7 linked regions of the Canis lupus familiaris genome follow. The protein of the gene in region 2 interacts with the protein of the main gene of each other region in a biochemical or structural test. Links are inferred from orthologs where the notes say so. Each region holds a gene or a part of one and is shown on either strand. Other genes may lie near its edges.

Evidence for each region.
Region 1: the proteins of ABL1 (region 2) and GRB2 form a complex in vitro, tested with the Homo sapiens proteins (3 studies listed by BioGRID). The link is inferred for Canis lupus familiaris from reciprocal best matches to the Homo sapiens genes ABL1 and GRB2.
Region 3: the proteins of ABL1 (region 2) and RAD51 form a complex in vitro, tested with the Homo sapiens proteins (2 studies listed by BioGRID). The link is inferred for Canis lupus familiaris from reciprocal best matches to the Homo sapiens genes ABL1 and RAD51.
Region 4: the proteins of ABL1 (region 2) and CRKL form a complex in vitro, tested with the Homo sapiens proteins (4 studies listed by BioGRID and IntAct, with this or other methods). The link is inferred for Canis lupus familiaris from reciprocal best matches to the Homo sapiens genes ABL1 and CRKL.
Region 5: the proteins of ABL1 (region 2) and ERBB3 form a complex in vitro, tested with the Homo sapiens proteins (2 studies listed by BioGRID and IntAct, with this or other methods). The link is inferred for Canis lupus familiaris from reciprocal best matches to the Homo sapiens genes ABL1 and ERBB3.
Region 6: the proteins of ABL1 (region 2) and ERBB4 form a complex in vitro, tested with the Homo sapiens proteins (2 studies listed by BioGRID and IntAct, with this or other methods). The link is inferred for Canis lupus familiaris from reciprocal best matches to the Homo sapiens genes ABL1 and ERBB4.
Region 7: the proteins of ABL1 (region 2) and PRKN form a complex in vitro, tested with the Homo sapiens proteins (2 studies listed by BioGRID, with this or other methods). The link is inferred for Canis lupus familiaris from reciprocal best matches to the Homo sapiens genes ABL1 and PRKN.

What each region holds. Positions count from the first base shown.
Region 1 is NC_049230.1:5,987,133-5,991,389, forward strand, and holds the start of GRB2 (growth factor receptor-bound protein 2), read left to right. Parts: upstream 1-1,457; 5' UTR 1,458-1,609; intron 1,610-4,257. UniProt on the Homo sapiens protein: Non-enzymatic adapter protein that plays a pivotal role in precisely regulated signaling cascades from cell surface receptors to cellular responses, including signaling transduction and gene expression.
Region 2 is NC_049230.1:53,242,157-53,245,656, forward strand, and holds part of ABL1 (tyrosine-protein kinase ABL1), read right to left. Parts: intron 474-3,500; coding exon 300-473; intron 1-299. UniProt on the Homo sapiens protein: Non-receptor tyrosine-protein kinase that plays a role in many key processes linked to cell growth and survival such as cytoskeleton remodeling in response to extracellular stimuli, cell motility and adhesion, receptor endocytosis, autophagy, DNA damage response and apoptosis.
Region 3 is NC_049251.1:8,126,752-8,131,050, forward strand, and holds the start of RAD51 (DNA repair protein RAD51 homolog 1), read left to right. Parts: upstream 1-1,499; 5' UTR 1,500-1,756; intron 1,757-4,299.
Region 4 is NC_049247.1:30,747,035-30,751,064, reverse strand, and holds the start of CRKL (crk-like protein), read left to right. Parts: upstream 1-1,230; 5' UTR 1,231-1,763; coding exon 1,764-2,074; intron 2,075-4,030. UniProt on the Homo sapiens protein: May mediate the transduction of intracellular signals.
Region 5 is NC_049231.1:764,852-768,351, reverse strand, and holds part of ERBB3 (receptor tyrosine-protein kinase erbB-3), read right to left. Parts: intron 3,269-3,500; coding exon 3,155-3,268; intron 3,062-3,154; coding exon 2,941-3,061; intron 727-2,940; coding exon 653-726; intron 474-652; coding exon 383-473; intron 145-382; coding exon 1-144. UniProt on the Homo sapiens protein: Tyrosine-protein kinase that plays an essential role as cell surface receptor for neuregulins.
Region 6 is NC_049258.1:19,996,463-20,000,740, forward strand, and holds the start of ERBB4 (receptor tyrosine-protein kinase erbB-4), read right to left. Parts: upstream 2,801-4,278; 5' UTR 2,641-2,800; coding exon 2,559-2,640; intron 1-2,558. UniProt on the Homo sapiens protein: Tyrosine-protein kinase that plays an essential role as cell surface receptor for neuregulins and EGF family members and regulates development of the heart, the central nervous system and the mammary gland, gene transcription, cell proliferation, differentiation, migration and apoptosis.
Region 7 is NC_049222.1:51,748,775-51,752,759, reverse strand, and holds the start of PRKN (E3 ubiquitin-protein ligase parkin), read left to right. Parts: upstream 1-1,185; 5' UTR 1,186-1,402; coding exon 1,403-1,409; intron 1,410-3,985. Other genes in the region: PACRG (parkin coregulated gene protein), read right to left, coding at 619-774. UniProt on the Homo sapiens protein: Functions within a multiprotein E3 ubiquitin ligase complex, catalyzing the covalent attachment of ubiquitin moieties onto substrate proteins. Substrates include SYT11 and VDAC1.

The sequences.
Region 1 (4,257 bases), about 47 Mb from region 2:
TGATGCTCAATAAATGCTTGGTGAAAGAACAACTCATTTTCCTAATTTCAATGGCTTATTTTCTCTATAGAATCAGATGTTCGGTTATTCTCATCTCAGCACTATTTTGTTGGCTTCCAGGGAGCACACTACCATTAGATACGTTCTGTTCTCTTTAATTGGAAAGAGCTTTTGGAACTGAAAAATAGGAGTTACTTCTTCAAGCCTCATCTGCTGCTCCCCCGTTCTCACCCGCCTCACACAGGAATCGAACAACTTAGCATCGCACAGAACACGACTCTCTCTCACGCCTCCGTTCCTTTGTACAGGCATGCGGTTCCCTTCGCCCGAAGCGCCTTTCCCCGACAGCTCCGTCTAGTGAACTCCTACTCGTCCTCCAAGACTCAGCTCAGACATCATCATCACCTTCTCTGGGAGGCTATTCTGAGATGGGCAGAGTAGCAGTTCTCCCTCCCATCTTTTTAGCTTCCTCAGCATTCTCCCAAATAATTCTAACATTGCATATGGCATTTTTTTGTTTTCTTCCGCTCCTCTAATTTTTTAAAAGATTTTACTTATTCAAGATTTTATTTATTCAATTCATTTTTAAGATTTTATTTATTCAAGATTTGATTTATTCAATTCATTTTTTAAGATTTTATTTATTCATTTATTCATTTATTATTCATAAGATTTCATTTATTCATTATTATTCACACACAGAGGCAGAAACATAGGCAGAGAGAGAAGCAGGCTCCATGCAGGGAGCCCAATGTGGGATTCGGTTCAGGGACTCAAGGATGACGACCTGAGCCAAAGAAAGATGCTCAACCGCTGAGCCAGCCAAGCCTCCCTCTCCGGCTCCTGTAGACCGCGATTTCCTCGATTTCCTCGAGGGCCGAGATACCTGTTCATCATTGTACCTCTTTACCCAACACCTGTATACCTATACCTATGCCTAGGATTAGCACACATCAGGCACTTGATTAGACCCATGAGCGAAGAATATGTTCATTCGTCTAACAGTGCGGTTTGGACCGAATTCTCAAGCATTTCAAAAGCTGGTCCTCTATTTGGAGCGCTTCAGGATAGAGGGAGATTCCGACATCCCCCGGCAAAATCCTCGGTTTGATGGCAGGAAAAGGGAAGTGATTAGGCTGTGATGAAGAGTTGCTCCTTCAGGGCTCAGCTGTCATCTACCCTCCTTGGCACAGAGAGGGTTACAGCGACCCAGAGGCGGGGCCACGTGGGTGCCACCTGCTCCGGGGCGGTCTGGCGCAGGCGCCCTGGCGTCTAGACGGCGGCTACCTGCGGGGCCCCGGCCGAGGAGGAGCGCGTGCGCTCTGGGCCTTTTCCGCCGGGGGAAGTCTCGCGGGGGCGGGGCGAGGCGGGACGGGGCGGGGCCGCGCGGGGAAGTTCTCGCGGGACCCCGACGAGGAGCGGAAGCCAGGCGGCTGTGTTGCTGCTGCTAGCGAGCGAGCGGGCGGCGGCGGCGGCGGCTGCGACGAAGACTGAAGCGGCGACGGCGGCGGGAGCAGGCGCTGCCCTCGGGGAGCAGCAGCGCGGTCCGCGGCCGCTCGCACCGCTGCAGACGGGTCGGCCGGGCGCGGAGCGGAGCTGCTGCGCCACGGTGAGTACGGGCGGCGGCGGCGGCGGCGGCGGCGGCGGCGCTGCTGCTGCTCCGGTGCTGCTGCTCCCCTGCTCGGCAGCGGGAGGTGGCCCGCGAGGACCGGGCCCGGTCTACCGAGGGCTGCCAGGGTTGGGGATCAGGGTCGGGGCGACGAGGCCTGGCGCGGAGAACGGAGTCCCCCGGGCTCCGTATTTCCCTTTTTGGGGCGCTTCCTTCCTGGGGACCGTCCTTCCCTTAGCTTAGCTCGGGGCAGGAGGCCGGGTGCGCCTCTTTAAGTTTCACGCTTTCTCGGGGGACGGCTTGCGCAGAGGGGCCCGGGAGAACCCCGGGAGCCCTGGGTACTCATTCTGTGAGTCAGTCTGACTCGGCCCGGCCCGGGAGGCGGGGGATTCGCCGCGGCTGCAAGTGTGGTGATTGATGCTCTTGCGACCTGCACGGCCACCACGTCACCATCTCCCGGTGTCTTTGGGCCAGAATTTGGGGAGGGAGCCCACCGACCCTATGAATACCGTGATTTAGAACTTTTGCTGCCGGAGCCAGCTGAGATGTCTAGTTTTTTTGTTTTTGTTTTTTTGAAACTACACTGAAAAATACTTGTAAAGAACAATAAGCAGCAGTTGGTTGGAAATGCTCCGAGGAAAGGTTTCTGTGCAAGAGGATAAGGAAGGCACTGGTATTTTTCATTTGCATCGCTCTCCATATACGCCCCGTGAGTTAACAGCTCGTTTAGGGAGTTCTTCCAAAAGGTACGATTTGCAGAGGAGCCGAAGTGCACTCGACCTGTGTCTTTTGGTACTGTTGACTCAGAAAAGAGCCCAAAAGACACATGAAAGAAGATAGCATATCTCTTTGGCTTTCCTGTCTCTCTCTCTCACTTTATACTTCTCCAGTAGTTGCCTTCCCTTTCTACCTACTTGTCTCCATTTTCACTGGGGACACTAAGTGTTTGCTTGTGTAATGCAAGTCATTTGCTCATCCCTCCCCCCCTTCTTCTAATCTACTTCCCCTTCCTCCTTTTTGTCCCCTCTTTGGCATAATTTTTCAAGGTTTCTGCCCTTTGGTGCAGTTTGTCTTCTCCCTCATTTAAAGATTCCGTTTTCTCTCCGGGGAAGATACCCTTTTTCCTGCTTTATCCTTCACTTTGAAGCGTCCACTGTGTTCCTTCAGTCAGCCAGAAGAGTTGCCAGAGAGCCTTGGGAGACTTTAAGTTCTCCCCCTGGGAACTGGGAGGCTCAAAGGATTGAATTCATCCGTAAGTAATCAATACTGCCACTAGGTCACAAGTGTAGCTTGCTTGTGTTATTTGTGTTTTAGTTGTTCTCTTCATTTTAACATTGTGCTTTTGTGCCTGCTTACACTTTTCTTCCTATGTCTCTTTTATACTAGTAAGGAAGATTGGGTCAATTTGGGGTTTGTAGGACTTCTTTTTCGGCTTTTAGTGGGAGTGGTGTGTGTTAGAAAATGAAAACCAACCTTAGACCTATGTTACAGTAGAATTAAGATAACATTAAATATTTAAGGGAATAGAATTTCTTTAGATCACTGATGAATTAAAACTTGCCCATTGGGCAGCCCCGGTGGCGCAGCGGTTTAGCGCTGCCTGCAGCCCAGGGCGTGATCCTGGTAGACCTGGGATCGAGTTCCACATCGGGCTCCCTGCATGGAGCCTGCTTCTCCTCTGCCTGTGTCTCTGCCTCTCTCTCTCTCTCTCTCTCGCTCTGTGTCTCTCATGAATAAATAAAATAAAATATTTAAAAAAAAAAACAACTTGCCCATTGTGGCAATTGGATTCTTTACCAGGGTTCTTCTAATGGGGCATCGTTGTTACTGTTCTTGGGGTTTTTTCGATATAAATAACTGTTTCATTACTCCTTCCTTTGTCCAAAATTTTCTGAATTCCCAAAATAAAAACCGAAGTTAATTCTTGTAATTGGCTTTCTTTGATACTAAAAGCAAGCATTTAAGTGCTTGAGGCAGTTTACTCCCTTAGCAAGTGTATTCAGATTTGAGGGATTGCTGGGTTTTAAATACTACTAGTTGATGGTACTTAGCAGTTTTTTTGAGAAATTGCTGTTATGTTGCCTGTTGTGCAGCAGCAGTTCTGATTGTTGCCTAGAACAAAATAATAATAGATTTTGGAGAAATTAATACAGAATAGAGATGTACCATGCTCTCCTGAGAGAAATTAATAGTTCCTTGCTTAGTTCAAAAGACTTTCCTAGCACTACTGAAAGGCTATTGAGAGCCCTTGGTTTTATTTGTTAAAGTTGGCTTTTTCCTAGTTGAGCCAAGTGAATGTGCATTACTTTTATTTTATGCAAAGACATTGTAGTGCATTATCTGGAATGCAAAGTTTGAAATCTGGTTAAGGCATTCTACTAGTACAGCAGTGATTCTTAAAATTTAGCATGCTTAAGAATTACCTGTGAATCTGGGATGCCTGGGTGGCTCAGGAGGTTGAGCATCTGCCTTTGGCTCAGGGCGTGATCCCGGGGTTCTGGGATCGAGTCCCACATCAGGCTCCCTGCTACGAGCCTGCTTCTCTCTCTGCCTGTGTCTCTGCCTCTTTCTCTCTCATGAATAAATAAATAAAATCTTAAAAAAAAAAAAAAAAGAATTACCTGTGAATCTTATTTTAAATTAGGCTC
Region 2 (3,500 bases):
AACAACATAAGGAAGTTTCTTGGAGGAAAAAATACTTTCTCTTTAAAAAAAAAAAAAAAAAAAAAAAATGTTTTTGGTGCTTAGTCCAGGCGTTCTTTTCACGATCATGCTCTGGTTTTCCTAAGAACTACCGTACGGGAACTCTTCTGCTTAAGTGGCTCTCTCATAAAGATACTGTTTTTTTTTTTTTTTCATTGTTGGCTCTGCATCCTTCACTAGGAAAACGGGTAGCCAGCCAAGCCACAGTTTCACCAGATCTGTCCCTTGCAAGCACCAGCAGTGGTCCATAGTTCTCCTACCTTTAGTTATGCTGAGGGTATTGTCCCCACTGGCCACAAAATCGTACAGTGCAACGAAAAGGTTGGGGTCATTTTCACTGGGGCCAGCAAGAAGGTTTTCCTTGGAGTTCCAACGGGCTGCTTCACTGAGACCTTGGGGCTCAAAGTCAGATGCTACTGGCCTCTGAAGGGCTTCTGGAAGACAAATGGGAAACAGAAGAAACAAGAAACATTGGGGGAAATAATTAGTTTTATTCTCAGGAGCCATAAATTGTTTCCATCATTAAACATTTTTGGTTTACTTCATTTCTCTTTTTTTTAGGATTTTTTTAAAGGTATAATTTATTTATTCATGAAAGACACAGAGAAGAGAGGCAGAGACACAGAGGGAAAAGCAGGCTCCCTGTGGGGAGCCCGATGTGGGATTCGATCCCAGGACCCCGGGATCATGACCTGAGCCGAAGGTAGACACTCAACCAATGAGCCACCCAGGTGCCCCTGATTTATTTCATTTCTTAACATCTATATGCAATTTGTATTAATAAGAAAGGTGGTAAAATGAAAATGGACTCTTCCTTTCCCAAATCCTGTGAAAGGTATGAAGTATTTTCTTTTCTTTTTTAGTATGAAATATTTTCATTCCAAAGTGGCAATCACGGTTTCCAAATAGCCTCAGCTTTTTAAATTCATTAATTCAAAATGAACTCATTGTAATAGTTAAAAATAGAAATAGTCTATCCTGGGATCCCTGGGTGGCTCAGCGGTGTAGCACCTGTCTTTAGCCCAGGGCGTGATCCTCGAGTCCTGGGATCAAGTCCCACGTTGGGCTCCTTGCATGGAGCCTGGTTCACCCTCTGCCTCTGTCTCTCTCCCTGTCTCTCATGAATAAAGAAATAACACGTGGCTCCTTGCATGGAGCCTGGTTCACCCTCTGCCTCTGTCTCTACCCCTGTCTCTCTCCCTGTCTCTCATGAATAAAGAAATAAAATCTTAAAAAAAGAAAGAAAGAAAGAAAGAAAGAAAGAAAGAAAGAAAGAAAGAAAGAAAGAAAGAGTCCATCCTCATACATCTTTGCCATTGCTTACATATAATAGAGAACAAAAGTTTCTTTAAAACATTTCAAAACATGTTAAAGTTAATATGTGTATATAATTTAAAAATCAAGTAAGACAGACAGGCTTATGATAAAGGACAAACACCTTCTACCTCACTCTTCTCTACACCCATAGGCAACAGCCATGCATGCCTTGGGTGACCCTCCATCTCTCTGAGGAGAAGTTGAGTCTCTTGACCCCACTCCTCTGCCCCCACAGCTCCTGTGCCAACCTCTACCATCACCTTTGCATTTTCAGCAACACACTTGCACAGGCTTCATTTCTTGTTCTCCAGCTATAGACAGCGTCTCTCGCTATTTACTTCCCAAGATAACATCCCACCCTTCCTTCCAGCTCTCTCGACACTCTCAAAGACAGCCTTCTTATATTTCCTTTACCTTGTGAAAACTAGTAAAGTTTCTTCCACTTTGTAATTATAAAGTCCTTCATGTTTTGTATATAAGTAGATTGTAAAAGGTGAACATCGATCAATCTCTCTTAAAGTACATGTGGCTATTGTTCACTACAGGGTCAAAGAGAGTTCATTATTTTTTCCTGAAATCTTTTTCCTTTTCTTTTTTTTCTTGAACTATGCTCAACCTCACTAGAATTTCTGTGATATACATGAGAGTTTTTTTAAGCCAGCAAATGAACTCCAGGTAGGTCCTTTTAACAGTCATAGGATATTCTAGATTGAAATTGGAATACTCATTTAAGGAAACTATAATAAGAAACCAACCTTTACAAAAGGAGGGATAAGGGGAAACTTTTAATTTTCCCATATGTGTAAGCCAAACCCAAATGGTAAGAAAATTATGTATGGGTGCCTGGGTGGCTCAGTTAGTTGGTTTTAGCTCGGGTCACAATCTCAGGGTCGTGGGATTAAGCCCTGCAACAGGCTCTGTGCTAGGCAGGAAGTCTCCCTGAGATTCTCTCTCCCTCTCCCACTGCCCCTCCCCTGGCTTGTGCCAAATCTTTCTCTCTAAAATAAATAAATACATCTTTAAAAAAATAAGAGAAAAATTAAAATTTTCCCTCTTTATGGATTTAGAGAATCCCCAAACATCTTTTCTTGGGCAATAACAGGGATAGATCTGATTCTGCAGTATTCACTTCCCCTCAAAACAAAACAAACCACTAGAGACATCTAAGACACCTGAGGGATGAGGCTGAACCAGGACTGGAGAACTTTGAGAAATGGGCATTCTTTAAAATATCTCTTTGGGGATGCCCAGGTGGCTCAGCGGTTGAGTGTCTGCCTTCGGCTCAGGGCGTGATTCTGGGTCTGGGGATCAAGTTCCACATCAGGGGCTGCCCAACTAGGGTCTTTCAATACTAGCTTTTATACTACTGACTGAAGTAAACCTTCGGCAACTGTTTTTGCTAAAAGAGTAAATCCCCAACTACGTCATTATTATGTTTGGTAATCTCACTGTATGAATCATGAGGGCAAAGAGAATTTCAAGGAAGAGGGTCTGTAACACTGCCACTTCCTAGAGTGCAGAAAAGCCTTAGTTATGAGTTAGGCCTCGTCTCTTGAATATTTTACATGGGCTTGAAAAGCAAGCCTAGCACCCATTGTGATCAGGAATTGATCAATTAACCAAATACAGCTGGTTAAGGGGCAGCCCCGGTGGCGCAGCGGGTTTAGCGGCTGCCTTCAGCCCCGGGGTGTGATCCTGGAGTCCCAGGTCAGGCTCCCTGCAGGGAGCCTGCTTCTCCCTCTGCCTGTGTCTCTGCTTCTCTCTCTCTCTCTGTGTGTCTCTCATGAATAAATAAAATCTTAAAAAAAAAAAAAAAAAAAAAAGCTGGTTAAGGCAGAGAATTTTTTTTTTTTTTAAATGTGTGATCCATCATTCCCACTTGAAAGTGCACTGGCTTGCTGGCCTTGACTGCAGGGACAAGGTCTGCCCTCTTGGGGCTGAGTATGTATGTGGTGAGAGTTGGAGATTGTCCCCATCATCTATCTGGCTTCCAGCTTCGGTTTTCTGGCGGCCGAGGAAGGACTGGGATTTATATGCTCTGTGGCCCCAGCACAGTCCCTTCCAATTGCTTACAGCTGGCTCACTCACACCTGGTCTGGCAGCAACATTTAAAATCACCTGCCTTTACTGAGTCTAAGGCATCC
Region 3 (4,299 bases), on a different chromosome or scaffold from region 2:
GATCCCTAGGTGGCGCAGCGGTTTGGCGCCTGCCTTTGGCCTAGGGCGCGATACTGGAGACCCAGGATCAAATCCCACGTCGGGCTCCCGGTGCATGGAGCCTGCTTCTCCCTCTGCCTGTGTCTCTGCCTCTCTCTGTGACTATCATAAATAAATTAAAAAAAAAACCAAACAAGCTTTATGAACTTTAAAGCACTCCACAAATATACAGTAGTAGTGGGGGAAAAATAGATCTAAATAAAGTAGTAGTAGGGGAAAGATTGATCAAACCATAGAACTCCTCTGCTCAAAAACTTTTTTTTTAATTTTATTTATGATAAGCACACAGTGAGAGAGAGAGAGGGGCAGAGACATAGACAGAGGGAGAAGCAGGCTCCATACACCGGGAGCCCGATGTGGGATTCGATCCCAGGTCTCCAGGATCGCGCACCTGGGCCAAAGGCAGGCGCCAAACCGCTGCGCCACCCAGGGATCCCCTCAAAAACTTTCAATGAGGAGTGCCTCAGTGGCTCAGCGTGGAGCCCCTGCCTTTGGCTCCGTTCATGATCTGAGGGTCTGGGATGAGTCCCACATTGGGCTCCCCAGGGAGCCTGCTTCTTCCTCTGCTTCTCCCTCTGCCTCTATGGGTGTCTCTCATGAATAAACAAAATCTTTAAAAAAAAATAAGATTTTTAATGATTTCCTCATTACTTAAAGAATAAAGACTGAAGCTCCACACATGGCCTTAAGCTTCTTCATAACCTGAATGAAATGTTAATTTTCCAGTATCAGCGTCTCTAGGACACTTTTCCTCCTTCATCAGACAATTCTATCGCTTGACCACGTTATTTCCATACCCATAGTGCTCTAAGTCTCCCATCTCCGTTTCTTTGCCCAGGAAACCCCATTAACGCTTTAAAACCGGAGTCACACACAGGTCCAACTTCCCAGTAAACAAGGTTTACTTTCTCAAAATCAGTGTCTCCTGCCCTCGGGAGTCTTCCAAATCTCAAGTACCAAGACTTGACTAATATTTCAGCCATTTTTCTCCCCTTCGTTAGCTGTTTCCAGTTCCATCTCAGCTCTACCACCTCCAGGGGCCTGGAAGGAAAACCCCAGGCTCCGGGAATTTGACGAAATCGGAAGCTCAGACTAAACGTCCAGGTTTAGAAACTAAAGAGGCAAATCGAGAGCAGCTCTCTAGAGCCAGACCTTCCCCCAGCAGGGGTGAGGCGCTAAAGTGGTGTGCGACCCTGTGCCTGCTGGGAGATGGAGTCTCCGACCCACCCCACTACCTCTTGGGAGTTGTAGTCCTTGGTCTGGTAAAAGAGAAGGAAGCGGCGACTCCCAAATTGTGAATTAGTTTTTAGGGGTAAAGGGAAGAGGCAAATGCCTCACATGAGGCAAGACCAAGTTCCTTGGACCCAACTAGGGTTCGCGAGCAGCCGCAGAGCGGGCTAGACCTCCGGGCCGAGGGGGCGGGGAGACGTTACGTTGACGCTGGCGTGACCCAGCCGGAGAATTTGGCGGGATCTCCAAACACTCCCCGGAGGGAGCTCTGCGGTTTGAGACCCAGCCTGAGGAGACTGACGCGCCCTTAGGGGCGTCGTTGGGAGCTGAAGCTCGCTTGGGTTGTGTGCGGAAGGCGGCAAAAAGGGAGTAGAAAATTTGGCAGCAAGGGAGGGAGTCCAGAGCCCGTCCAGAGTCGTGCGCGGACCGGACCCGCGGACAGAAGTCGGAGCGCGCAGCCCGGCAGTGAGGAGCGCTGTGGACCGAGGTGAGCGTGTGAGGCGTAGACTCGGCCCCTCCTGCCTCCCGGTGCGTCCCCGCAGTAGCCGAACCGGGCGGAGCCCGTGCCGCCGGCAGCCGGCTTATGGGCCCCTCTGCGCCAAGTGAGAAACCGGAGTTGGCGGGGCGGAGCAGGGTCATGCCCGGGCCCAACCCACCGTCGGGGCTCGTTGTGGCAAAAACTGAAGTGGTCCCCAGGCTCCAGAGCTAGAAGGAACCTCAGAGGCCTTCATTTTCAACACCCGGTTTGGGGGTGGGGGGGTGGGGGCGGCGGGAAAGCCGAGATCCAGAGAGGTGTTGTGATTTAACGTCACAGCTGTTTCTGTCGGGGCCAGGGTTTCCGGATTTCTGGTTAATCCTCTTTCCATTACACCCTGCTTTGCTTACGGAGTACCAGCTTCCAATTTCCTAAAAGGCGTTTTCATTAGCTAATTCAGGCCGTTCGTGTGATGATGCCTGGGGAATGATCTGTAGTGAAGTGGTTTCTTTTGACTGCTAAAGTGAAGTGTAATATGCGTATGGAAGAATATACAAATCAGAAGTGTATAGTATACGCCTCTGATTTCAAAAAGAATATACCTGTGCAGTCATTACTCAGGTCAATAAATAGAACGTTGTCAGCACCCCAACATCCCCTGTTCTCTCCAAAGGTAACCTCTGTATTGACTTCTGACACCAAAGACTAAATTTGCCTGTGTTTGAGTTTTGTGTAACTGATATTATCTATCTTTAAAAGGTTTTGTTTATTCATTTATTTATGAGAGACGCAGAGGGAGAAGCAGGCTCTTCAGGGAGCCTGCTGCGAGACTCGATCCCAGAAGCTCGGGATCATGACCTGAGCGACAGCAGATGCTCAACCGCTGAGCCACCCAGTTTCCCCATATTATGTATATTTTTGTGTTTGGTTTTGCTCAACATTCTGTCTGTAGATTCGTACTTATTTTTGCATATAGTAATAGTTCTTTTTAGTTTCTGTATTGAATTCCTTATTCATTCTGCCCATGCCCATGGTGGACATTTGGGTTGTTTCTAGTTTCTGAGTTTTTAAATGAGAAAATCTGCAGAGAACATTCCTGCGTATGTTTTGGTACAAACGTGTATGGTTTTCAGTTGGTTAGTAATACAGCGTTGAAATTCCTGGGTCATAGCATTTGTCTATATTCAACTTCCACATTTAATGCCAGTTTTCTTTTTTTAAAGATTTTATTTATTTATTCATGAAAGAGAGTGAAGGGCAGAGACACAGGCAGAGGGAGAAGCAGGCTCCATGCAGGAAGCCCGGTGTGGCATTGGATCCCGACACTCCGCATCCATGCCCTGGGCCAAAGACAGGTGCTAAACCGCTGAGCCACCCAGGCATCCCTACTGCCAGTTTTCTGCTACCAATTTACATTTACACCAGCAGTGTATGAGTGTTTAGTTTTTTCACATGCTTGCCAACACTTGATATTGTCAATCTTTTAAAATTTTATCTGTTTTGGTGGCATATAGTAATACTTCGTGGTTTTAATTTTGATTTTCCTGATAATTAGTCAGGTTGAGCATTGGTTCATCGTTTTTGGCCCATTTGGACATCTTCTATCCTGAAGTACTTGTTCCAATCTCTTGTCTGTTTTTCTATTGAGTTGCCTTTCTCCCTTCCCTTCCCTCTTTCCTTCCCTCTTTCCTTCCCTCTCTCCTTCCCTCTCTCCTTTCCTCTCCTTTCCTTTCCTTTTTTTAAGATTTTATTTATTCATTCATGAGAGAGAGGGAGAGGGAGAAGCAGAAGCAGGCTCCATGCAGGGAGTCCGATGTGGGACTCGATCCTGGGACTGCGGGATCACACCCTGAGCCAAAGGCAGATGCTCAACCGCTGAGCCATCCAAGTGTCCCTATTGGGTTGCCTTTCTTGCTGATTTGAAGTTCTTTATATATTTTAATTATCAGCCCTTAGTTGTATATATGGTAAATATTTTGTCTCCCACCTGTAGTTTGACTTCATTTTCTTAATAGTGTCTTTTGATGGATAGAAGTTTTAAGTTTAAATGTCCGATTTTTCAGTCTTTTTTTTCGTTGTTGCTTTAAGAAAGTTTTATCCCAAAGTCATGAAAACATTCACCTATATTCCAAAAGCTTTGTTTTACCTCTTATATTTAGATCTGTAATCGAATTGGAAACAGATGTTTCTTCTGTATGTGCAGTGTTTTATTTTGTTTTTGTTCTTTTTCTTATTCTGTAAGGCTCTCCCATCAACCTAGCACTTTTTATTGAAAAAAAAAATCCTTTTTCCATTCTCTGTAATTCCATCTTCTTCATAAATTATGAAGGGAGGTGTTTAAATTTTTTTTTTTTTTTAAGATTTTATTTATTCTGGGCAGCCCTGGTGGCTCAGCGGTTTAGTGCCACCTTCAGCCCAGGGCTTGATCCTGTAGACCCTGGATCGAGTCCCACGTCGGGCTGCTTGCATGGAGCCTGCTTCTCCCTCTGCCTGTGTCTCTGCTTCTCTCTCTCTCTCATTCTCTCATTAAAAAAAAAAAAAAAATCTTAAAAAAA
Region 4 (4,030 bases), on a different chromosome or scaffold from region 2:
TTCAACCTGAGAATAATACATGACAATATTGGGGTGGAGGGGATTGAAAACCTGCTTATGCTGAGTCACAAAAGGCACTAACCCTTGACATTTCCCCTTTAGCTTACCCTAAGCTGGATATCACCCATCACCCTAGAATTAGGTGTATGTTCAACCTGAGGGCTGCAAGCGCCGAAATGAAACTCCACTGACAAAGGGATCTGTATAGGTTTGTTATAGCCGGCGTCTCCCTTTCTTTACAGGCTTTCTCGTTTGTCCAGTTCTAGGGGTGGTGCTACCAATAATCGGGCACCAATAGCCTGAGGATTTTTTTTTTTTTTTCAAAAGTCAATTCATTCAACAAATATTTGAGCATCAGGTCAGGTCCAGACCTTGTGCTAGGCCCAGAAGCGAGCAAGACAGACAAGATCCCTGATCTCTTAAAATTTCATCGCGGGGAGGGGAGGCAGGGTGGAGAAACAGGCCACCACGACCGGCCGAAGCAGGTCAGCCAGGGGGCGGGCATGCGAGGAGATTAGCTCGAGAAGCTGCAGAACTGGAGCCGGACGAGATCTTCGGGCCACACCCGGGGGAGTCCGCATTTCATCAGTTAAACGCTAATGATGGCCAGATTGCACCAAAAGGTGGACTTCCTCGGGCCACTCAATCCTGTCGCTCCGACCTTCGCAACCCCTTTTTGCGGCTGTCGAGTTTCCCGGCCACTCTGGGTCCCTGAGCCTATCAGGCCACCTCGGCTTTGGTCACGTCAGCCCCCGCGGTCGCGTCCTTCCAGAGCCACCTCGACCCACCGAGGCGTGTCCGCCCGCGGGTCTCCCTCAGCGCGGGTCCCCCGGGGCCCCTGGGCCAGCCAGGTCACCTCAGTGCCACGCCTCCACGGCCAGAGGTTCTGCATGCACGTTCTGCTTTGTTCGCGGAGCAGGTTTTCGAAACGCCGCTCCCTCTCGACTCCAGCTGTTTTCCAGCCGGAGCTGGGGGGGAGCCCGCAGCGGCAGCGCCCCCGGCGGCGCACCGCAGCCCAGGAAGGGAGTGGCCGTTACCGCCACCTCCTCCTCCGCCGCCTCTACCTCCTCGCCTCCCCCGCTTCCCCGGCCGCCTCCGCCTCCTCCCGGAACGCGGGAGCGGCGGAGCGCGGCGCACGCCCCGACCGTCACGACCGCGCTCCTGATTGGCCGCGCCGCGCGACGTCACGGGGCGGGCCTGGGCGGCAGCTGAGAGCCAGAGCTCGCGCGTGCGCAGACCGAGCGCGCTGAGCGGAGGGGGAGGTGGCCGGCCGCTTGTCCCGCGTCCGCCATTTTGTTGCTGTGGCTCTTGGGAACGGGCTGGGCGAAACCGCCCCGGAGGCGCGACGCTCCTGGGAGTCCGGTGCTTCGCGTGGCGGCGGGTATCAGTGCAGAGCCGTGGGGGGCGCGGAGTCGCGCGTTCCGGGCCAGGAGTGGCTGGAGGCACCCCCGGTACGCCGGGCAGCCCCAGAACCCCGGGGCGGCCTCCGCTGCGGCTCAGCTTCGCCCGCCCCGACCTCGGGCTGTGCCCTGCATTCCCCGGGCCGGCTCCGTCCGTGAGGCGGCCCCGGAGCAGGCGGGCGGCGGCAGAGGATGCTGCGGGCCCGGAGCCGAGACGAAGGTGCTGGCTCGGCCCTCTAAGCGCGCCTCGAGGTGTGCCAAGAGGCCCTTCCTTGGCCGCAGAGCCGTCTGTCGGGCGAAGGCGTCCAGAACAGCCGAGAGCAGCCGCCGCCCCGAGTCGCCGCAGAGCCCCGGCCAGACACCATGTCCTCCGCCAGGTTCGACTCCTCAGACCGCTCCGCCTGGTACATGGGGCCGGTGTCTCGCCAGGAGGCGCAGACCCGGCTGCAGGGCCAGCGCCACGGAATGTTCCTAGTTCGCGATTCCTCCACCTGCCCTGGGGATTATGTGCTGTCGGTGTCCGAGAACTCGCGGGTCTCCCACTACATCATCAACTCGCTGCCCAACCGCCGTTTTAAGATCGGGGACCAGGAGTTTGACCACTTGCCGGCCCTGCTGGAGTTCTACAAGATCCACTACCTGGACACCACCACCCTAATCGAGCCCGCGCCCAGGTACGCGAGCGCCCGCACTCCCCGCGCGCACAGCCCCCCTCGGACCGCGGCGGAGGGTCGAGAACAGCAGGGGCTGGTTCGCGGGGGATCGACCGCCGGGTAGGGGGTGGGGGGAGCGGGATTGAACTCCTTTCACCCCATTCTGAACCAAATTGTTTTCCAGAAGGCATTCTGATCGGAAGGCTAGTGCCAGGGTCTGGGTTGTTGGATGAGGGGATGGGTTTTAAACCTGTGTAACGGCGGTTGCCTGGTTAAAATGCCCGCTTTGTGCCGTTCGTCACATTATCTATTGGGTTATCCTAATCGAGACGTTTTTGTTGTTTTTAAGCCTTTTTTGTTTTGTTTTGTTTTTTTTTTTGAGAATCTCAGGGCAGCTGTGGCGTTCTCCCTCCGTAAAAATGCACGTACACACAACTTTGCACACCGTTCAAGGTTCTTGGGCTCCCTGCTCCAGTTTAAGAACTCTTGGACTGCAGCCTTTGGAATAATCGACAAATGAAAATGCTTGAGCGTTTAGGAACAAAACCTTTCACAGTGAAGTGGCGGAACTATGTAGGATACCTTGGTGCTAAATTTGAATTACCTAGACACCTTTTGTTTTATAACTAACACATTTTATTTTATTTTATTAAAGATTTTATTTACTTATTCATGAGAGACACAGAAAGAGAGAGGCAGAGACACAGGCAGAGGGAGAAGCAGGCTCCATGCAAGGAGCCTAATGTGGGACTCAAACCCGGGAACCCGGGATCACACCCTCAGCCAAAGGCAGGCGCTCAAGCGCTGAGCCACTCAGGCATCCCAACTAACAGAAATTTTAAGAAGATGATGCATTGGCTTTAGCGAGGACGCATTTTTTTTTTTTAATTTTTATTTATTTATGATAGTCACAGAGAGAGAGAGAGGCAGAGACATAGGCAGAGGTAGAAGCAGGCTCCATGCAGCGGGAGCCCGACGTGGGATTCGATCCCGGGTCTCCAGGATCACGCCCTGGGCCAAAGGCAGGTGCCAAACCGCTGCGCCACCCAGGGATCCCCGAGGACGCATTTTTTGAGTTTTTATTTTATAGTTTATCCCCAGGGTGGACCATTAATAGGCCAGAAATGTATTTGATTATATTCTAAAGAAGAATGAAGCTAGGATGTAAATTACTAAGGAAATTTTTGAGCGATACTTTAATTCTGTCCTAGTTTAATTTTAGGTATACCTTTTGTACATTTGTAAGTTTAATAATTTAAAGCAAGCAGCATTCTCTTTTCTAAGTAAATGCATTATTTTATTTGATTACTTGCTTTAATTTGTCTTTAGTATTTTTTCACGTTTCTTTTATTTAAATTATGTCAAATTTGAACTGAAGAAATTGCTTGGAATTTTTTTTTAAATAAAAAGTATTTTGCTGTCCATTTTGGTTCTTGAACTTATGTTTAAAAGGAATAGGCTGCCGGGATCCCTGGGTGGCGCAGCGGTTTGGCGCCTGCCTTTGGCCCAGGGCGCGATCCTGGAGACCCGGGATCGAATCCCACATCGGGCTCCTGGTGCGTGGAGCCTGCTTCTCCCTCTGCCTGTGTCTCTGCCTCTCTCTCTTTCTCTCTGTGTGACTATCATAAATAAATAAAAATTTAAAAAAAAAATTTTTTTTTAAAAAAGGAATAGGCTGCCGATATAGATTTTTTTTTTTTTTTTGGAATGACCTGTTTCTGATTTTATAGATTTGCTGATAAGATGTTGCACTGAGCTTTAACCATTAAAAGCTATAATAATTAAGGAGCACCCACTGGATGCCTAAGTGTTGCTTCTGTGGAGTAAGAGAGAAGAAACAAAGCCATGACAGTATAATGACTATAAGATTAACTGCTGAACTAAATGGACTTTAAAAACTGGGAGAAAGTGATTATAAATCAAATAGTGTTATAACAAAGGCCTAAGCACCAAGAATCTGATTGGTGAAATCTCCAG
Region 5 (3,500 bases), on a different chromosome or scaffold from region 2:
AGCCTGGTCCAGTTCAGAGAATGGTGGTAGCAGAGTTGCTTGTTGGCACTTATGTAAATACGCCCAGCACTAATTTCTTTCAAAGATCGGAGGCCCAAAGATGTTATATTCAAGTTCTTCATGATCAGCAAAGAGAAACCCCGGCTGAGAACAAGGAAACGAGGTAAGAAGGGAGATTACACAGGGGAAAATGACCATGCAGTGGATTCCTTTTCATTTAACCAATGTGCTCTGGGCCAGTCAGACCGGGAAGAGAGATTCCCCTTCCAACTCTCAGCCCTTTGGGCATGCTGAGACAACACGTGTGCTTCACTCAAAGATGCCTAAGAAACAGGGTTCATTGCCTGGAGGTACTACCACCACCACACTCCTAACTACTCACTTGTATAGGCTTCTGCCCCCAATGGTTGTCAGGTTGGAAAAGACACTGAAGTTGTGCATGTGGGGAGGCCAGGACTGGATGTTCAGGTAACCTGACGGGTTGGAGAGAGGCGCGTCAGCGGGGAAGGAGTCTTCCCTTCTTGCCTTCTCAGGTTCTAGTGGCCCCTCTCCCATCACTTGGGACATGACTTTGTAACTAGTTATACACCAATTTGTGTCAGTGGTTCACTCATTTCTCTCAGAAAGGGTAGCAGCCTCTCTTCCCACTCACCTGTGATCTCCCGTACTGTCCGGAAGACATTGAGCTTCTCAGGGTCCAAGGCAGGGATCTTGTGCCAGGGGTCTCTGGAGAGAACAGTCAAAACCAGTCAACAAGATACAGGTACAACCCAGTCACACCTAGCCTCAGAACTTAAGTTTCTTTTTTCTTTCTTTTTTCCTTTTTAAGATTTTATTTATTTATTCATAAGAGACACATAGAGAGAGAGGGGGGCAGAGACACAGGCAGAGGGAGAAGCAGGCTCCCTGCGGGGAGCCCGACGTGAGACTATCCCGGGTCTCCAGGATCACTCCCTGGGCTGAAGGTGGCGCTAAACCACTGAGCCACCCGGGCTGCCCAGAACTTCATTCTAATACCATCCTCCACTAAAAGGAAACAGGGCTCCTTGGAGAAATGAGTAGGGCGGGAGAAATATAACATGAGTTTATAGCATCTTATGCAAAAAAGGAAGTAAGTGCTCAGAGAATGAAGGGTACAAAGAATCTGGGATCTGGCTTGAAGAAGCCCCCAGTGGCCAGAACAGAGACAAATCAACACCAAAATAATAACTGTAAAAGATTATAAAGGACTGAGTGAAATAGGTACCAATCAATCAATCAATGGGAAAGGAAAACTGTTCCTAACACTAAAATGCCGACAAATAAATGCAAAAGGAATAATGGAGTTAAAAAATCATCATGTGGCAACTCTCATCAAAAAATTGATTCAGGGGATGCCTGGGTGGCTCAGCAGTTGGGCCTCTGCCTTTGGCTCAGGGAGTGATCCTGGAGTCCCAGGATGAGACCCACATCGGGCTCCCTGCATGGGGCCTGCTTCTCCCTCTGCCTGTGTCTCTGCCTCTCTCTCTCTGTGTGTCTGATGAATAAATCAATAAATTTTTTTTAAAAATTGATTCAGGGGGCGCCTGAGTGGCTGTTGGCTGAGCATCCAAGTCTTGGTTTTAGCTGGGGTCCTGATCCCAGGGTCATGGGATGGAGCCCCAGGCCAGCTCTGTGCTCAGCGTGGAATCTGCTTGAGATTCTTTCCCCCTTCTTCTCCCTCCCCATGTGCTTCTTCGCCAACTTGCACACCCGCACACGTGCACAAGCGTGCACACGTGTGTGTGTGTGTGTGTATAAATAAAATCTTTCTTAAAGTAAGTTGATTCGGGCAGGGGCACTTGGCTGGCTCAGTAGTGGTGCATGCGACTCGTGGTCTCAGGGTTGAGTTCAAGCCCCACGTTGGGTATAGAGATAACTTAAAGATAAAAATCTTAAGGGGCGCCTGGGTGGCTCAGTCCATTAGGCATTGGACTGATTTCGGCTCAGGTCATGATCTCAGGGTCCTCCACGTGGGGCTGTGCTCCTGACATGGCCCCACTTGGGATTCCCTCTCTCCCTCGCTCTTTTTTAAAGGATTTTTAAAAATTTATTCATGAGAGACACAGAGAGAGAGAGGCAGAGACACAGGCAGAGGGAGAAGCAGGCTCCATGCAGGGAGCCAAGGTGGGACTTGATCCTGAGACTCCAGAATCACGCCCTGGGCCGAAGGCAGGTGCTAAACCGCTGAGCCACCCGGGCGTCCTTCTTCCTCTCTCTCTTACATAAAGGGGTGCCTGGGTGGCTCAGTCAGCTGGCTGTCTGCCTTCACCTCGGGTAACAGTCCCAGGATCCCAGGATCAAGTCTCACATTGGGCTCCCTACTCAGTGGGGGAACCTGCTTTTCCCTCTCCCTCTGTAGCTCCCCCTCCTTGTCTCTATCAAATAAATGGTTAGATAGATAGATAGATGTAATAAAATCTGAAAACAAAAAACAAAAAAAGTAGTAGGAGAACACAATTTCTTTGTCCACTGCCGTGCAGTGAGACAGTTATCAGATTCCTTGGGGGGGGTCTCAAGGGATTCAAGTCCTGGGTGGCAGACAGAGTTAGGAATGGTCAGGTACTGTGTAACCTTTAAAATTTCATGATTTATATTCCTTTTATTTTTTTTATTTTTAATGATTTTTATTTATTTTGAGAGAGAGAGAGAGAGCAAGCAGGGGGAGGAGCAGAGGCAGGGGGAGAGGATCTCAAGGACACTCCACACTAAGCACAGAGCAGGATGCGGGGCTTGATCTCACGACACCTGGATCACGACCTTAGCTGGAACCAAGAGTCAGACGCTTAACCGACTGAGCCACCCAGGTGCCCCTGTGATTCGTATTCCTAATCAGCTGCACATATGAAGGGTTGAGCCAAATGCAATGAACCGTGAGAGGATGGATGGAGTGGGGGTTAGAGAGGGAATGCAGAGTCTAACCCATTGAGGCCAGTGATCAGAAAGTCCAGGTTGCCCAGGATCTTGGTGCAGTTCACAAATCCATCAATGTTGCTCGAGTCCACAGTCTGGAAGCGGCTCCCGGAGCCTGTCCCCTCACAGGCTGCAAACACAAAAGAGGCTCAGTGGGTGGAGCCTGATTGGTCTCTGGGGAAAGGAAGTTCTCTTCACCAGCTCTTCACCATCTCCTACTCACCTTTGGGGCACAGCCCCCCACAAGGTTCACACATCTTGAGTCCATTTTTATCTACTTCCATCTTGTCAGGAGGACAGGCCCGGACACAAGACGTTTGATCGACCACAAAGTTATCTAGGGAGAGGAGGGCACCATGAGAGACAAGAGAGGAACACTGCCAACGAGCAACTGAACCTTGCTCCCTCCTGCTCTGTGCTGGATCTGTCCCAAACCACCACCCAAGGTTCCTTAAACGCTGTCCTATGGCTGAGAAAAGCTCTTTGCTCTTTGTTGCAGAACTAGGAGCAGTTGCTAGAAATCATGGGAAGTAGACAGGACAGTGGGGAGAGGATTCACCGGAGGTGAT
Region 6 (4,278 bases), on a different chromosome or scaffold from region 2:
TGATTTTTTTCCCAAGCAAGAGAAGAAAAAATAAAAACAGGTCCTTTCCCATTATAATTATTTTAATAAATATCTTAGATCTATACAACAGAATCCTCCCTCCACCCATATCTTTATTCTGTTCACATAGAGCAGTAAATAAGGTGCATTCCTTCTGCTTAAGAAATTAGCATTTCAAAAATATGCCACTTTCCCCTGAACTCCAAGCGTGTCTAATAATGCGAGAAGCAGATTGTCTTCCCTCGTTTCCTTAATTTGTTTCATCTAAAAGCAATTCACTCAACATCTTGTCGCCCTCTGGCAGCTTAGTTTACTTATCCGCACTTAATTTCTCATTTGGACCAAAACAAACTCCTCCAAACTGCTACTGACTGCTAACCGCGAGAGGGGAGACACGCAGTATGTATTTACTTGGGAACAGACAGCCCCACGGACACAGACACAGACACACACAGCCTCACTCACACTCCACACAGTAACTTGGTTTCGTGAAAGCACTGTATTAAAACCAGCTGAACTTTCCCTGCCAGGTGCGGCAGGGGTGGTGGGGGCGGGGGGGGGGGGGTGAGGAGGGGAATAGGGTGAAGAAAGAAGTCCCCAGGGGCATTTACAGTTCCCAGTGGATCACCTTAGCATGCGTGTTGCAATTGTACCAGGGATGCACCGAGAGCTTTTCTTTGTGCGGCCCTTTCATCTGGATCACTCTGTGTTTTGAACAAGTGAGGCTCGCCTTTGTGCCCCTAGAATTTCAAGTGCAGAGTCACACACAGAACAACAATGGCACGCTAATCCCCGCGCTCTACAGGGGCTCACTTGTGGGTCTGACCATTCGCGGGGGGAAGCGAGAAGAGACCAGCGAGGGCGCGAGGCGGTGTCGCCGGAGACGAGGAAGGGGACAGCTGCAGAACTAATTTGGATTGCATTCTTTGCAGAAATTCTGAAAAGGGCTTTTCGGCATAGCTCACCCCTGAGCCACACAGTTAATACCGAGTTGCTGCGCACTCGGAGCCGGGTCCCCCAGCGGCCGAGGCTGCACCGACAGCCCCCAGTGGGCTGCCTCGGACTCGGAGAAATCCCTCTCGCCTAAGTCTGCGTGTCGGTCGCACACGCTTTTGAATGGGTCAATGTGCATAATCGACCCATTGAGGGAAAATACGAAGGGACTCGGAGTGCGGAGGGAGGAGGTAAAAGGCACGTATCTAAGAGGCCGCCTGGAATCCGCGGTCGGGGCTGGTGCGGTTCCGGCGGCGGCTGAGCGCGCGACCCGGTGCGCATGAAGGACTCCCGAGGATCGGGAGGGTGCAAACGGCGAGCACCAACGGCGCACGCTGGTGCCACTCGAAGGTCATTCTGAAAGGCTCGGCGCCTGCGACTTGTTATTTACTAGGCTAGGAGGGAAGGCGGCAGCGGCGGGGGCGGAGCGCGGAAGGCGGCGCGCGGCTCCCGGTGAGGTCAGGGGGACGCCCTCCGGGGGCCCGACGCGGCCCGAGCCCCGCTCCCGGGCGCTCCCGGGGGGCTTCACCCTCCCAGCTGCCTCCCACGCTCCCGCCACCAGCCCGGGGTGGCTCCGGAGATCCCCCCCGCTCTGCAAAAGGCCCCCTTTGGCGGCATCAGACCCACCGGCCTCCGTCCTTTCCCGCCCCGCTTTCATCCCCAGGAAACTCAAGTGTCAAAAACTTTGAGCAGCCTCGCCCTGCAGGTGCCGTGCGTGGCCCTGGCCGCCGCGGACGCCAGCCCACCCCGGGCCTCGGGGGCGGTCGGCCTGGGCCCGTCCAGGTGCCCGGGCTCGCGCCTTCTCGCAGGCGGTGGCGGTGGCGGTGGCGGAGGCGGAGGCGGTGGCGGCGCCGTCGCTCCCGCCTCGGGGTGGACCGGGTCGCGCCCCGGGTCGGCTCGGCAGCCGCGCCGGGCAGTAAACAGCGAAGTTGGAGGGACTCGGGCCAATAGAAGTTGAACTACAGGAAGAACTCTTCCCGGAGCCAAGCCGGGCGACGACGGCAGGGCCGGGCTCCCGCTCAGGGTGTCAAACCCCTTCCCTGCCCCCCCCCTTTTCTTTAGAGAGAGCCCGCGGGCCAGCGAGCTCCGTCGAGTCGGCGGCGCGCAGGCTGGCGGCCGCCCCAGCGGGGAGGGACCCGCGGCCGCACAGGTGCGCCGCCCGCCGGCTCGGGGACAGCCCCTGCGGAGCCCCGCGCGCCGGTGCCAGGCGTTCGCTCTCGGGGCGCCCGCACGGCGGGACCGTCCAACTCGGGAGCCTCGGGAGCCGCGTGTCCCGCGGCCCGCACAACCGGCAGGACCCGCAGAGATCCCGCTTTTAGGCTCCCCCGAAAACGCGGGAGAAAGAAAGAAAGAAAGAAAGAAGGGGGTCGGGGAGAAAGGAAGGGGGGAAAAGGGAGGGGGGACAGGGTCGCAGAGTGACATTTCACGGTAAGTGAAACGCAGGTACACGAAAAAGGCTAAGTTTGGGGACGGACAGACGGAGGGAGGAAGGGAAGCCAAGCCCGAGGAGGAGGAGGCCGGAGGGGCGCGGGGGGCGCGGGGGGCGCGGAGCCCCGGACACCCACCTGACTGGGAGGCGTTGGGCTGGACGGTCCCCGCTGCCAGCAGAAGGCTCACCCAGACCCACGGTCCTGCCGCCAGCTTCATTTTCTGCAAGTCTCAGATCCCGAGCTGACAATTACATGTCCAAATGGCATCTCCCCTGTCGGGCACGCGGAGGAGGGCCCCGAGTCCGGCGCGCCCGGGGCGCGGTGCACCGGCTCCCAGCTGGAGCCGCCGAGGGCGAGTGCGCGTGCGAGTCCGAGTCCGAGTCCGAGTCCGAGTCCGAGTCGGCGGGGCCGGGGCCGGGGTGCGGGGGCGCGGGGAGCCGGGGCCGGGGCCGGGGCCGGGGCCCGAGGAGGGGCGTGCGCGCCGGTGTGCGCGGGGCCGTGCGCCCGAGGGTGTGCGCGTGCCGCTCGGGGCCGGACTGGGCAGCGCTTCCCCCGTGCGAGCCTCCGCGTCCTCGCTCCCTCCTCACTTTCTCGCACTGGTTGGTCAACAATAAAAAGGAAGGGGGGAAAAGGCTTTCCAAAAAAAGTTGATTGCAAAGAGGCGGTAGGTTTCCGGCCTCTCCCCGCAGCCGGGCTATGTTGGGCTCCCTTTTCAGTTTCCTTGCACCTCCAGTCCCAACTGGGAGGGGATGGGAGGACGAGGGCGGGGGGGGGGGGGGGGGCGAGGGGAGGGCGCTTCTCGCTTCTCCCCCGATCCTGTCCTTCTTTTTCCCGTCAGCTTTCCTCACACTTGTCCGGCGGCTGCGGTAATTAAAGCTCCGAGCGTCATTTCCAACGCTCCGCGGTCTCCAGCTGCAGCCCCACCGAGAAATTAATAAGACTCCGGGAGGGGGGAAAAAAAAAAAAAAAAAGGTGGAGGGGGGGCGGATAAAACAAGCCTCCACGCAACCGGGCTGGCTCGGCTCAGCCGCGAGCCCCGCCCCCGCTCTGACCCAACTGGCCCCGCCTTTTTCCCCGCCCCCCACCCCCCAGAGGGGAATCTTATTGGCTCGTACTCTCCCCAAAATCCTCAGTCTCAGGAGTTGGGAAAACACCTGTCTGGGAGCGGGCGCGTGCTGCGGGGGGCGGGGGAGCTGGATTTAAAGGGCTCGCCCGACCCAGCCGACCGACGCCGAGGCCCTAGACAGCGGCTTGCGAGCGCGGAGACCACCGCAGGGTTGCTCACAGATTTTTTTTTTTTTTCTTTTCCTTAAACCAGAAAGTCCCCGTTTTCTCTACTGCCCCACACACAGTGCTCATCCACAGACTGGAGCTGGAAATAGAAGAAAAGAAAACGTTGCTTCGGGCATAAAGCCTTCACCCTTCTCCAACCTCTAATGCTGCTGCACACTCAGAAAGTAGTTAAAAAGGTGGTTCGGGAGCTGGGAGGCTCTGCCGGTTAGGTGGTCCTGGGAACACAATCACCCGTTTTTCCAACTATGCCATCCCTCCCACAATTCCCACCCTGCCGAACTGACGGCATTTATATAGCTACAGCCTTTGCTTTTCAGACCTCGTAAGTCTTTTTTCACCTTTTCCTTGGACTTGGGACAACTTTGTATGGGGTTCATTCTCATTAAACAGATTCTCGTCCAAAGGTATAAATGTGGTTCTAAAGGGCTAGAAACTCTCTCACTCCGCAGCTGTTACTGTGAAAGAACTTAAGGCCATACCAGGACATGGCCAACACAAATGATTATTAGGCTTATGCTACAGTAGACCCAACTTTAGGTACCTTCTGCGAGTCCACACTCCC
Region 7 (3,985 bases), on a different chromosome or scaffold from region 2:
ACTTAAGGCTTGGACTGTTTAAAACTTATCATCATTCAAAAGGTCTGGAAATAGACCTTCCTGTTACATTGCCTATCCGAACTCTAACAAGCTGATATTATTTTGTAAGAAAGAGGCTTGTTAGGGTCAACGCAGGGATGCTCTAAAATTCCTTCGTTTGAACTGATGAGAGTTCCTAACTGTAGACGATTTAACGAGTTTATGGTTCCAGGTGTACATCAGCACATGTCAAATTCTGCAAGAGCTTATGATCTCTAAGAACTCGCCTTCTAGAATGACCTTTGCTGAGTGGGGCTCGATTAGGAATCGATACGTAAAGAGGCTCTTTAAAAAAAAAAATCGTGTCAATAGTTTTAAGAGTACCTTGGCGTGGTCTAGAAACCATGAGTTAGGAGGAAGGTGCTTGTCAGTGGGTAAGAGTGCCTCACGTGCCCAGGATCCTTCCTGACACCCCAGCCAGGACCTCCTCACCCTGCTGGGCGCCGTCTGCAGAGGCGCCCCCCTCGGTGCCGCAGACCCCCCAGGACACGGATTCAGGATCCATCCCAGGCCGGCCAGCAGCTATCGCCTGCTGTCCCCTGATCGGAGCGAGTGCATATTCAATGCAGGGTCACTTACGACTGAGTTTTTCATCATGGCTTTGACTGTGAAGCCCTCAGAAACCAGGGAGTGAGGCTGGTGCACCGGGAGCGGCTGTTGCGCCAGCAGCTTGGTCCTCTTCGGCATCTTGTCTGGGCATTTGTTTAAGCTCAGGGTCTCTTTTTCTGCCACCATCTTCCTAGAAAATGTCTCGTTCTCATAAAACGTGTAGTAAAAGAATCAGTGGGTTTTACGCATGTGAGAAGGAGTTCGGGGGGGAAAAAATGTAAAAAGGCGCGTTACTGGTAGAAATTCAACCCCTCGTAGTGCCCAGGTTGATCCAGATGTTTGGCAGCTCCTAGGTGAGGGGAGTTGACGGAGGGGAGGGGCGGGAGGAGGGAAGGACCGTGGCGAGAGCCCTAAGAAGCTTCCAAAGGTAAGCCTCCCGGTTGCTAAGCGACGCGTCAACACTGCGGCCCCGTGGCCCAGTCCCCCCGTGACGTAGCACGCTTGCTGGGCCTGAATGCGGAGAGGCGGCGGAAGGCGGCGGGCGGAAGGCGGGCGGCGGCGGGCGGAAGGCCCACGGCAGGCCGACGGCGGGCGGGGAGGGGGCGGCGCGATGGGAGAAACTACGCTGTCAAACTACGACTCCCAGAAGGCCCCTGGCTGCGCGTCGTCCGCGCGTGCGCATTCCGACAGCCGGCCCCAGGGAGGCAGGTGCTGGAAGATTTAACCCCGGAGCCACATTTGTGGGAGGCGCGGGCGGGCGCCGGTGCGGGCGTAGCCCCCTGCGTGCCCAGCAGCCTCCACCTGCCTAGTGACCATGATAGGTACGTGAGTACCTGCCAGGTACAGCCTCTCTGCGCCTCCTCGCCGGGCCTCGGCGGACAGGGACGCCCCCGCCCCCAGGGTGTCGGCCGGTGTCAACTGTCAGTGTCGGGACGGCCGTGTCCGCCGGCCCTCGGCCCGCGCTGCGCGCTTCCCGGTGCCCGCCGTGGGCCGGGGGAATACGTGTGTGTGAGCTCAGCCCCCGCCCAGCCCGTGCTCGGACAGCTTCCCCGGGGACCCCGGCGTGCGCGCCTGCGCCTCCCGAGGTGGAGGCTGCGGCGCGCGTTCCCACGGCGAGCGCCGCGCCGCGCCCCGCCCCGCCCCGCCCCGCCCCGCCGGACTCGGGGGTCGGTTCGCAGGCCCCTCACGTGCACCTCCGGCCCCGCCCCTCGGGGGCTGCCTCCCGGCTAGGGACGGATGGGACCCGCCGCCTGTAGGACTCTTTCCGGGGAAACCCTATACCGAAGCTTTCAGCTCTAGCGGAAGGCACCTGCCGGGATGGTTAGGATTCAGAGACATTCCTGCAGAGGAACTTAAACCTCTCGCTCCCTCGATTTTTCCTTGTAAATCTCTCCTTGTAGGTCTGAGATGAAAGAATCTAGAGTAAAGAATAACAAGGATTAAATATTGGCATAATGAATTATTAGTTGACACAAAATGACCTGGGTGCATATTTATGATGAAAGCTTTGGAAATGGTTTGTGGTAATTGTTTATAAACACTGTGACAAAAGTTTCCTCCCCCTCCCCGTCCTCCCCGTCCTCCCCGTCCTCCTCGCCGTCCTCCTCCTCTTCCTCCTCCTCCTCCTCTTCCCTCTCCCCCTCCTCCTCCCCCCTCCTCCTCCCCCCCCTCCTCCTCCTCTTCGCGGTAATCTTTGAAATGAGTGGAAATACACAGTATGATTAGAAACCAGTGTTATTTGGGGCGTTTATTATGACAGAGACTTACTTTAGATTGTGTATGGAAGATTTGGTGACCCTATTTGGAGATTATTCCTGATGAGTACCACTTAAAAAACAATTTTGATTGCATCGAGTGCATCTGAAGTCAGAAATGGTCAGTCCAGAAAGATGAGAAGTGGATTTTTAAAATACGTAAGTTTGTATGCACTGATAGAGTCTTAAGTCTTTTATTTAGGAAAATTAATGTTAAAGCGTAAAACATTCTACCCAGAGGGAGAATCATGCCAGTGATTAACTGATGCTGTCTTTGCAGCAATGATAAAACCTAGGGATGTTGTCCAATTTTTCTCACCTTTCTAGCACGGTATGACTTTTGGTGAATGACTTTTGAAAGTCATCCAATGAAGACATTTTTCTTATAAATGAATGTTTTATATAAACTTTATGAATCTTTTGAACCCAACTTTTACATATAATCCACTATAAACGGCTCTGAGTGGAATCAGAAAAACTAATAGAAGAAATTTTTAAAAATCCATGATGTCAGCATTTTACAGAAAAAATTATGTTTTATTTGAAGACAATTATAAAATTTTATTTTAATTCAACTTAATTTAGTGCATGCATGCTCTTAAAAGAAGCAAGTTTATAGCAAAGCTATATAAAGATAGGGACTTAAGATCTAAAAATCACAATTCTAAATTGTTATCTGATAAATGACTATATAAGAACTTTAAAAAAAAAGAACTTTGGTAGGATGAACTATGTTTAGGGAATTTAGTTTATTTGGGACTTAGGGACATAAGACAGAAGAGTATGATCTTTGGATTTGATGATTAGACAGTTATTAGTAACTTGTAATTACATGGAGAATATAAGGTAGATTTTAAAAGGTGTTTTTTCTTATACTCCAGTTGTTGTTTTACATAGTGCAAATAAATGTGTATTACAACATAAGTACAACATGCCCCATCCCAAGAAAGGTACTTTACATATAAAAACCATGTGGACAATGTGCAGTACATTATTTTATACAAGTAATTGCAATGCCTAATTCTATTGGTGGGCACTTTTTGATAAAAATCTTAATTGCCAATTTTGGACTTGTATTGGTGAAGAGAGTGTGTGGAAAGGTAGGTGAAAGTGGAGGCAATTAAAAAGGAAAGGTAGGTGAAAGTGGAGGCAATTAAAAAGTGATGGGTTTCCTGTTTGTGAATAAACCTCAGAGCCAGGAAAGGCATTATTGTTTATACCTAGTAATAGGCTGGAGATAAAAATATACCTCAGTATATATCTGGGTTTGTTTTTTTTTTTCCTGTTAAAGACATTGTGCTACTCAGAACTTGCCTGTTTTATGCTTGTGCTCTCTTTAATTGCTACACCCTCTTTAATGCAAATAGTACTCTTCCATTTTACAAAAATCTTGGCTTACTTTTGAGGAAAAACAACAATAGGAGTAAAGGGGATTGATTGTTACCCCACTACGAGTAGAATTAACCTTCCTTTTTTGTTCTTAAAACCTAGGATTCCTTCTTGGTACAGAGACTGCCTCAAAAGTACTTATATTTCTCACTTGAATTATGACTGATACGTTAAATGCCTGGCCCAGACAGTCATAGAAACATAGTTTAATTAATTATGACTTTGAGAAGTATGGAGTAGGACATCAGGGTATC